Xenopus tropicalis: one gene and its partner. The protein of the gene in region 1 binds, or shares a complex with, the protein of each later gene. Links are inferred from orthologs where the notes say so. Each region holds a gene or a part of one and is shown on either strand. Other genes may lie near its edges.

What was found.
Region 2: the proteins of npr1 (region 1) and nppa are in contact, whole or in part, in a crystal structure (PDB 7BRG), measured with the Rattus norvegicus proteins. The link is inferred for Xenopus tropicalis from reciprocal best matches to the Homo sapiens genes NPR1 and NPPA. Residues at the interface, in NP_036745.1 of Rattus norvegicus: Asp90, Val115, Tyr116, Ala119, Pro120, Arg123, Ala139, Leu140, Gly141, Ile142, Val144, Tyr148, Tyr182, Asp184, Leu186, Gly187, Asp188, Asp189, Arg190, Phe193, Phe194, Val196, Glu197, Tyr200, Met201, Arg204, His213, Gln214, Glu215, Phe216; in NP_036744.1 of Rattus norvegicus: Arg126, Ser127, Ser128, Cys129, Phe130, Gly131, Gly132, Arg133, Ile134, Asp135, Arg136, Ile137, Gly138, Ala139, Gln140, Ser141, Gly142, Leu143, Gly144, Cys145, Asn146, Ser147, Phe148, Arg149, Tyr150.

Annotation. Positions count from the first base shown.
Region 1 is NC_030684.2:144,232,320-144,236,138, reverse strand, and holds part of npr1 (atrial natriuretic peptide receptor 1), read right to left. Parts: intron 3,764-3,819; coding exon 3,689-3,763; intron 3,544-3,688; coding exon 3,466-3,543; intron 581-3,465; coding exon 476-580; intron 393-475; coding exon 321-392; intron 1-320. UniProt on the Homo sapiens protein: Receptor for the atrial natriuretic peptide NPPA/ANP and the brain natriuretic peptide NPPB/BNP which are potent vasoactive hormones playing a key role in cardiovascular homeostasis.
Region 2 is NC_030683.2:65,813,759-65,818,158, forward strand, and holds the start of nppa (natriuretic peptides A), read right to left. Parts: upstream 2,967-4,400; 5' UTR 2,859-2,966; coding exon 2,742-2,858; intron 744-2,741; coding exon 429-743; intron 1-428.

The DNA of each region.
Region 1 (3,819 bases):
TGCTAAGGTAATTTGAGCCCTAGCAACAGTATATCTGACCCCGGCAGCCAAACCTTATTGCTCTGTGAGGCTCCAGTTTTATTGTTATTGTTACTTTTTATTCCTTATCTTTCTATTCAGCCCCTCCCCTATTCCTATATCAGTCTCTCATTCCAACCACTCCCTGGTTGCTAAGGTAATTGGGACCCTAGCAACCATATAGCTGCTGAAACTCCAAAATGAAGACCAATTGCAAACTGTCTTGGAATATCTTGCTTGGTAAGATGTATAATAAATCTAAGGCTCTCATTTCCCAGCATATGGCCCCGCCCCCTTGTTACCTTCACAATGTCGTTAATTAGCGAATATCTGAACATCCAGTCCAGCGTGATGCTCTCGTTCTCCAGAATGTCCTGCAGAAACACACAGGGGCATCAGCGAGGGGCATGAAAGGGTTAACTCTAACTCTAGCAATACAAATCATGGGGGGTGGTACCTGCAAACTGCCCCGGGGGCAATACTCTGTCAGGATGCAGATGTTTGGGGGGTCGATGCAGGAACCGACAAATCGCGTGAGGTGTTCATTCTGCACATCTCTCATCTAGAAGGGAAGACAAACGGTTAAACCCAAGGGGCCCCGGCAACATTTAATAATTCATCAGCCAGCGGGGAAGGGGGGGGGGGAATCACCGGATCAATTGGGCAAAGGTTAAACGGTTCCCAAGTCGCCTGGGGGAGAAGGGAAGGATAGACTGGGGGGGGAATGATAGCCAGCCCAGTAGGGAAGCATAGGGTACTGCAGGGAAAGGGTTAAATGGCTCCATGCCCAGTGGGGAAAGGGTGGGCAGGCAAGGGTTACACAGCTTCTTCCTAACCATATAAGAAAGGGAAGGCAAGGGTTAAATGGTTCCATACCCTGTTAGAAAGGGATGTGGGAAGGCAGGAAAGTCCTATACCCAATGTAGCAAGGGTTAAATGGTTCCCTACCCAGTGGGAAAGGATAAGAGTGGGCAGGCAAGGGTTACACTTCCTAACCATATAAGAAAGAATGGGAGAGGGAAGGCAAGGGTTAAATGGTTCCCTACCCAGCGGGAAAGGATAAGAGTGGGCAGGCAAGGGTTACACTTCCTAACCATATAAGAAAGAATGGGAGAGGGAAGGCAAGGGTTAAATGGTTCCCTACCCAGCGGGAAAGGATAAGAGTGGGCAGGCAAGGGTTACACTTCCTAACCATATAAGAAAGAATGGGAGAGGGAAGGCAAGGGTTAAATGGTTCCCTACCCAGCGGGAAAGGATAAGAGTGGGCAGGCAAGGGTTACACTTCCTAACCATATAAGAAAGAATGGGAGAGGGAAGGCAAGGGTTAAATGGTTCCCTACCCAGTGGGAAAGGATAAGAGTGGGCAGGCAAGGGTTACACTTCCTAACCATATCAGAAAGAATGGGAGAGGGAAGGCAAGGGTTAAATGGTTCCCTACCCAGTGGGAAAGGATAAGAGTGGGCAGGCAAGGGTTACACTTCCTAACCATATCAGAAAGAATGGGAGAAGGGGAAGGCAAGGGTTAAATGGTTCCATACCCTGTTAGAAAAGAATTTTGGAGGGTAGGCAATGGTTAAATTATCCCATTCCCTAAGTGGAAATTATGTGAGTGGATGGGAATGGTTAAATGGCTCTATAGCCAGTGGAATAAGGATATGAGAGGGCAGGTAAGTGTTAAACAGTTCCAAACCCACCAGGGAAAGGATAAGACCGTGGTTAAATGGTTCCATGTCTAAATGGGAAAGTTCCACACCCAGCGGAGAAGGAATGCAAGGGTTAAATGTTTTATCACCAATGGAGAAAGATGAGAATGGGTAGGCAAGAAATAAATGGTTAAATCCCAGTGAGGAAAGGATCAGAGAGGGGCGGTAATGGATAATAGTCCCAAACCCAGTAACAAAGAGTTAAAATGGTCAGCATAGGGTAAATGGGTAATAGGGGAAAATGACAGCGAGCAGGCAAGTGTTAAATTATCCTACCCAGTATGGAAAGGGTCGGCAAGGGTTAAATAGTTCCGTATCCAGGAAAAGTATGAGAATGGCTAGGGAAGGGTTACACAGTTCCTTATGCAATAAATAAAGAATGAGAGAGTAGGCAAGGGTTAAGTGCTTCCATACCCAGTGAGAAGGCAAGGGTTAAACGGTACCAATCCAAGTAGATAGGGAATGAGTATGGGCAGGCAAGAATAAGGGTGAGAAGGCAAAGGGTTAATGGTGAAAAGGTGAGAGAGGGTAGGCAAGGGTTAAATGGTTTCATACGCCATGGGCAGGCAAGGGTTACACTGATCTTATAACAAACCGGAATAACCAGGAGGAGAGAGAGGCCCCCGACAAGTTAGTTTACCTTGAAATTAACTCTTTGCTGGCTCTACCCTATTAAATGCAGTTATGGAGGCCCCACTTGGTTAACTGCCCCAGTGCCCCACATGGTGCAGAAAGGGTCAACTCTTCGGCTGCATTATCTACCCCCCTCTCTACCCTTCAGATGGGATTCCTGCGCACAATTACAGCAGGGGGTTACTCGCTCTTATGTGCCTGCTGGGATCTCCAGTACGCGACCGGCCAAGAAGGGGGCACAATTTGGCCAAAGAACCAGGCTGGTCCGATTGTTTGGCCACTGGCCACATCATGTTAATAAGGGAGGAGGGGCTGCACCGTGGGCACCAAAGAGAAAAGACAGCTGGGGGGCCCCACACGCCGGGCATACCCCGTGGGCTGAATGTCCCCTTACTAAGGCCCCGTCCAATCAGGGAGGGAGCGAGAGAGTCGGGGTGAGGTGGCAGCGATGCTCCCTCTGGGGCATCTGGACACTGCAAACATTAGTGAAATGCCAGGGCCGGTTCTGAATAATATTGGGCCAGAGCAAATAACATCTGCTGTGAGAGGGAAGGGAGGGAGAGACAGTCACAGGGAGAGACAGATGGAGAGAAAGGAGAGCGAGAGAGGAACATGCTCCTCAGCTAGACCAACGTTCCTCAGGCTGCTGCTGTGGGACCTCCAAGCCCATCAACCCCCTAAAACTACTTTGCGTTGGGAATCCAGGGGGCGAACCCCCAAAACAGAAAGATCTGGAAGCAAAAGCGAGGACAAGACTGCCCAGGAAATCCCTATTGGCTGCTCTTCCCCTACAGCAGGACTCAGCTGGACTCTCAGGAATGAGCTCCCTGTGGAGAAGCTCAAACACGTGCCAGTGTGTCCGACTGACCGCCCCACCGGGGTTAAGTGGAGGGGAGCCCAGACTTTAGTTGTTTATGGGATTTTCTGAATCGTCAGCAGCTTTTCCCTGGGTCGGGAGCCAAGGAAGTGTCTTCAGCGAGACAGGTCCCAGATGGTCAGCACTGGGCAGAGGAAGGGAGGGTTACATCACTGCTCTGGTCAGGTCAGAAGAAAAGCGTAAGGGTCCGGGATCATTTAGTGGTCAGTTAGGAGGAGCTCAGCTGTTCCTTACGTGTTTCAGCTCGAACAGGACCTTGCGAGTCAGCTCGATCCGCTTGCGGTTTATGTGCTTGACGGCAATGATGTTGCCCTGCAGGGGGGAGACAATGGGTAGAGTGAGCTGGTGGGTCACATGGAAGGGGGTGTAAAGGGGGTCCTCCGACCTTGGTCACCACTGAGAGGTTTGTAACATGGTTTTGGGACATGGAGGTAACGATGGAAGGGCTGGACCTTACCTTGTAGTAGGCAGTCTTGGCGTAGATTTGGAACTGACCTTCTGTGGTGAGCAGGGACCCATAGTTGGAGCCTCTCTGTAGATAAAAGAACACATTTATATAGTACTGTGTATATATCTATATATCCCCAT
Region 2 (4,400 bases), on another chromosome or scaffold:
ATAATCAGCTGCTCAAAGGCTGCTTTATAGAAGGTAGATAGGGAGTTCTGAACAAAGTTGCCTCGCGAGGCTTTTTCGGCGATTTGCCGAAATCGCGCCGCCGCATGTGCCATCCCACCGGCAACTTACACTTTCGCCAGTGGGATGGCAGGTGATGGCAACTTGGGGAGATTAGTCGCCCGCGAACAGGGAGATTTGTCACGGGCGACTAATCTCCCCGTGTGCCAGAGCCCTAAAGAAAGGGACGGTAAGGTCAGTGAGTAGCCCAACTTTCAAATTAGTCCTCTATAATGGCAAATAAAAGGAAAACTTTGATTTTTTTTTTTTAATTAAAACAAAAGGCAGAATGTTATTTCAACACAATTCCCTTATAATTTTTAGCAAATGTGTTTTTAGGTGGATACTACAAGAATGGGTTTGCTGCTCACCCTATGGCTGTTGCAACCCATGCCACTCTGGGCTCCAATTCTGTCAATGCGTCCTCCAAAGCAGTCTGAGGACCTTCTTAAACTTTTTGGTGAATTTAAAAGCTCTCTTAACTTGCTTTTTAGTCGGGATAGTTTATCAGGTGTTTCCCAGGAAGACCCTCTGTTGAATACTGTATCAGATTGGGGTCTCACAGCCTCTCCGGTCCAGGAAGGAGCAGAGTTAGAAGCATCGGCAACATCAAAATTCTGAGCAAATAAATCTTGGGATGGGGCCACTGGTTCTTCTGCAGGCGCTTCCAAGCGCTCCAAAATGTTCTACAGGAAAAAGATCTTAATGAGCTAAATAAAATGTAGTCAATTGCAGTGAAGAAATTAATTTCTAGTGAACTCTTCCAAATATATATTATGAATGTGTGTAAATTATTGTCATGTAAACAACAGTTTCTCATGTCTGAGGGTAATGTTTAAAAAAAATATCCAAATAATTAGGCAAACTCACATTAAGGGGCAGATTTATCAAAATGTGAGTTTAGAGCTCAATACATAAAATCTCACCCACGTTGTATTCATTCCTATGGGTTTTTTAGAGGTGTATTTATCAAATGGTGAGTTCTAACTCTGACCCCTTGATAAATACGCTTCTAAAAACCCCACAAGAATGAATACAATGTGAGTTTTATGTATTGAGCTCTAAACTCACATTTTGATAAATATGCCCCTAAATGTTACTGGTTGTTCTGGACTGGTGATAAAGAAAGGCTACAACCAGAAACAACTAAACTTTAAAATCATGAGATAAGCTTATCTGCTCTAATATTTTCAGCCAGTAGATGTGGGCCAGATGCTTAAGAGTTATTCTGGTACTTATATAATGTATTAAATACATGTGTAAAGATCAGGGAGGTCCAACTTCAGAATTTTTTTTTTTTAGGTGTGCCTGTGTGAAACTATGTGTATATCAACTTCCCAATAAATGCCCATGTTCACTTGATAAGCTGTACGGCATTTCCAGTGACTTTTTGGATGAAGCAAGAGCTAGACTATAGGATATGAGGAGAGCTGTCTGAATTATTGTTGTTGTTAAAAGCAGAGTTCTCTGACCACTCTTGTGATTTACATTTTTTTTTATTAATGGTCTCTGATTATGCACCACCTTCATAGTAGGGAATCCAATATTTTAGGATCCGGCCAAACCACTAATCCTTTATGAAAGATTCGGGCAAATACTGAACTAAATCCGAATCCTAATTTTCACATGCAAATTAGGATAGGGGAAGGTTAAAGACAATTGTATGCAAAGCAGGCAGTGGCAAATTTTCAACTTCCGTATTTATATGACAAAAAGTCATGTGATTTTTCGGATTCGGTTCAGCAAGAACCATGGATTTGGTGAAATCTGAATCCTGTTGAAAAAGGCTGAATCTTGGCCATATCCCAAAACAAATCTTGGATTCAGTGCATCCCTACTTCATAGTCAGTTAAACCTAGAGAGATGCTGAGTCTAAAACTATAACTCAAAAACTACTAAAAACAAAAAATGTAAGTGAATAGCAAGTGCTCAGAGGAGCAATGTAAGTTGACTTTTTTTGTATTTTGGTTTAGATCTACTTTAATTATAAGAACTTAATAATATATGTGGTGTGTGCCAGCAAAAGATAAACTATAGATTATAATGAATAATGTAACCCCAACTGTAACTGATTTATAGATTTACAAATGATTGTATGAGTAGCATCTAAAACTTGCAAATAAATTATGGGCCCAATATGTTTTACTACAAGCATATTTCTGAATGTTATCATTTTAGGCATTATACATTTTTTTGTGTTGTACATTTATAGATAGTTTTAATTAGCTTATTTAATAGGCAAACTTGCTAAAATCACATGTTGTATTAGGTGGGATACAAGAGCTTCCCTGCTAATTATACATAAAGGAGGTTATACACCAGGGAAAGATCATATGTAGGAAAAAATGAAATTAATTGATGGAATTCAATGTGCACTAAAGATATTTAACTCTGATTTGTTAGTGTAAATAACTACAACAACAGACACTTATATTGGGAAGGCATCCGAGAAACTTCAAAAGGGATCATGTTAATAATAGCTAGTTGCTGTAAATATGTAACTGCCCTTTAATGGATAAACTTAAAAAAGTGTGTAAAATAATAGAATACAGAGCATGCAGTATTTTTTTGCTGGATTCCTACACTTTCTCTTTAATCTTCACTGTTTAGAATTACATTATATTTTCATTCCTTCTTTTGAGTAAAGTTCTTTAGAACCACATCAATGCTACAGAGTCTCTCACCTTTAAGTCTGTTAGATCAGAAGACAAGATAGAGCTGTATGCAGGACTGCCCCTGGCCTTCATCAGAGCAAGAAGAAAGAAGATGAAAGTAAAGTATCCAACGAATGAAGTCCCCATGACTCCTGAGACTTTCTGATATTGACCAAAAACCTAATTTCCACTATAGAAATGTCTGTGTGTCTCCTTGTTTGTTCTGATATACACAACACTGACTCATTTTATATGCGTAGCAGTGACACAGAGTTGCAGAGGAATGAACCCCGCCACATTCTAGCACTTCCGTATGATAAAGAAGCTGGTTGCAGGCCAACAGAAGATTCCCTTTTAAAGTTATTCTTCCCTCTGCATTTCCACAGAATTTCCAGGAGGTGCCTTATCCACTTGACTGAACTGACCTGATGGAAGACTCACATTCTTTGTTAAAGAGGCTTCTCACATGCAGTGTCTGGGTGAAAAGGATAAACTGACCCATCTATCTTTACATCTGCATTCCTTATTAGTGATTCATAGAAAATAAGAAAATTCAAACTTCTAACCAATGTGGTATGGATGGAGTTTAGCTAGTGAAACACACAGGGCAGTGTGGGAGCACTCCAAGACTAATAAAATATAATGTAAGTACAACAGACCTGGCCAGATTAGCTTCAAATAATGCAAAAGCTATAAAAAATGAAGAGCGACTAAAGGTTGCTAATTCTATAACATAGTAAAAGTTAATTTGAAGGTTAACTACCCTTTAAAAGCATTGTTTTAGATCTTAACTTATTGCTGTGCTCATTGAAATAAATACATTTATTCCATGTTTAAAAAGTTTAAATAATAGATTACAAACTCTGAAAAAGCTAAAAACATGTCATAAAATCTACATTGCTAGCCTTTCCTCTCCATTTTTCATTAGTAAACCCTTTCCCTTTTTATAGTAAATTTGTCCCAGTTTAAATATTAAAATGTTAGGCACCCCCAAGTGACTTAAATCGCTTAGCTTTTACCCCGGGCTGGTGCCCCTGTACAGAGAGAACAGCACCAGCCCGGGGTAGCAGCGTTCGCTTCCTTCTTCCTTGTTCGCTGCGCGCGCATGCGCAGTAGAGTGAGTAGCCGAACTTTGAACAGAGAAGTCAGCGTTTCACTCTACTGCGCATGTGCCTGTCCCGGACAATAAGCAGCAGCGCGAATAGGGAAGAAGGAAGCACTCGCTACAGTTACCCCGGGCTGGTGCTGTTTTCTCCTAACAGGGGCACCAGCCCGGGGTACAAGGTAAGCAATTTAAGTCACTTGGGGGTGCCTAACATTTTGGCACCCCAAAGTGACTTAGACTTTCCTTGTCCTTTAAGCATTAACATTTAAAATATAAAGCTTATTTAATCATTTATTCCCCTCCATTTTTTCTCTCTGGTGGCAAATATGGAGTATGAGTATATTTTGAATATGTAGCTAGATATTGTTGTATTTTGTGTGACAATGCCAATGCATTAATTTGTGGCACTAGAGAATATGACCAGTTTTGGAAAGAAGTGACACTATTTCTGACATCTGGGCTTCTGTTTTTTCCCTCGTCACTAACTAGTCAAGCCAGTACTTACCTGGGTTTCCTTACATACTCTAGGTCACCACTCATTTTTAAATAGCACTGAAAAACTCTTTGAGACAGCAAATATCCTC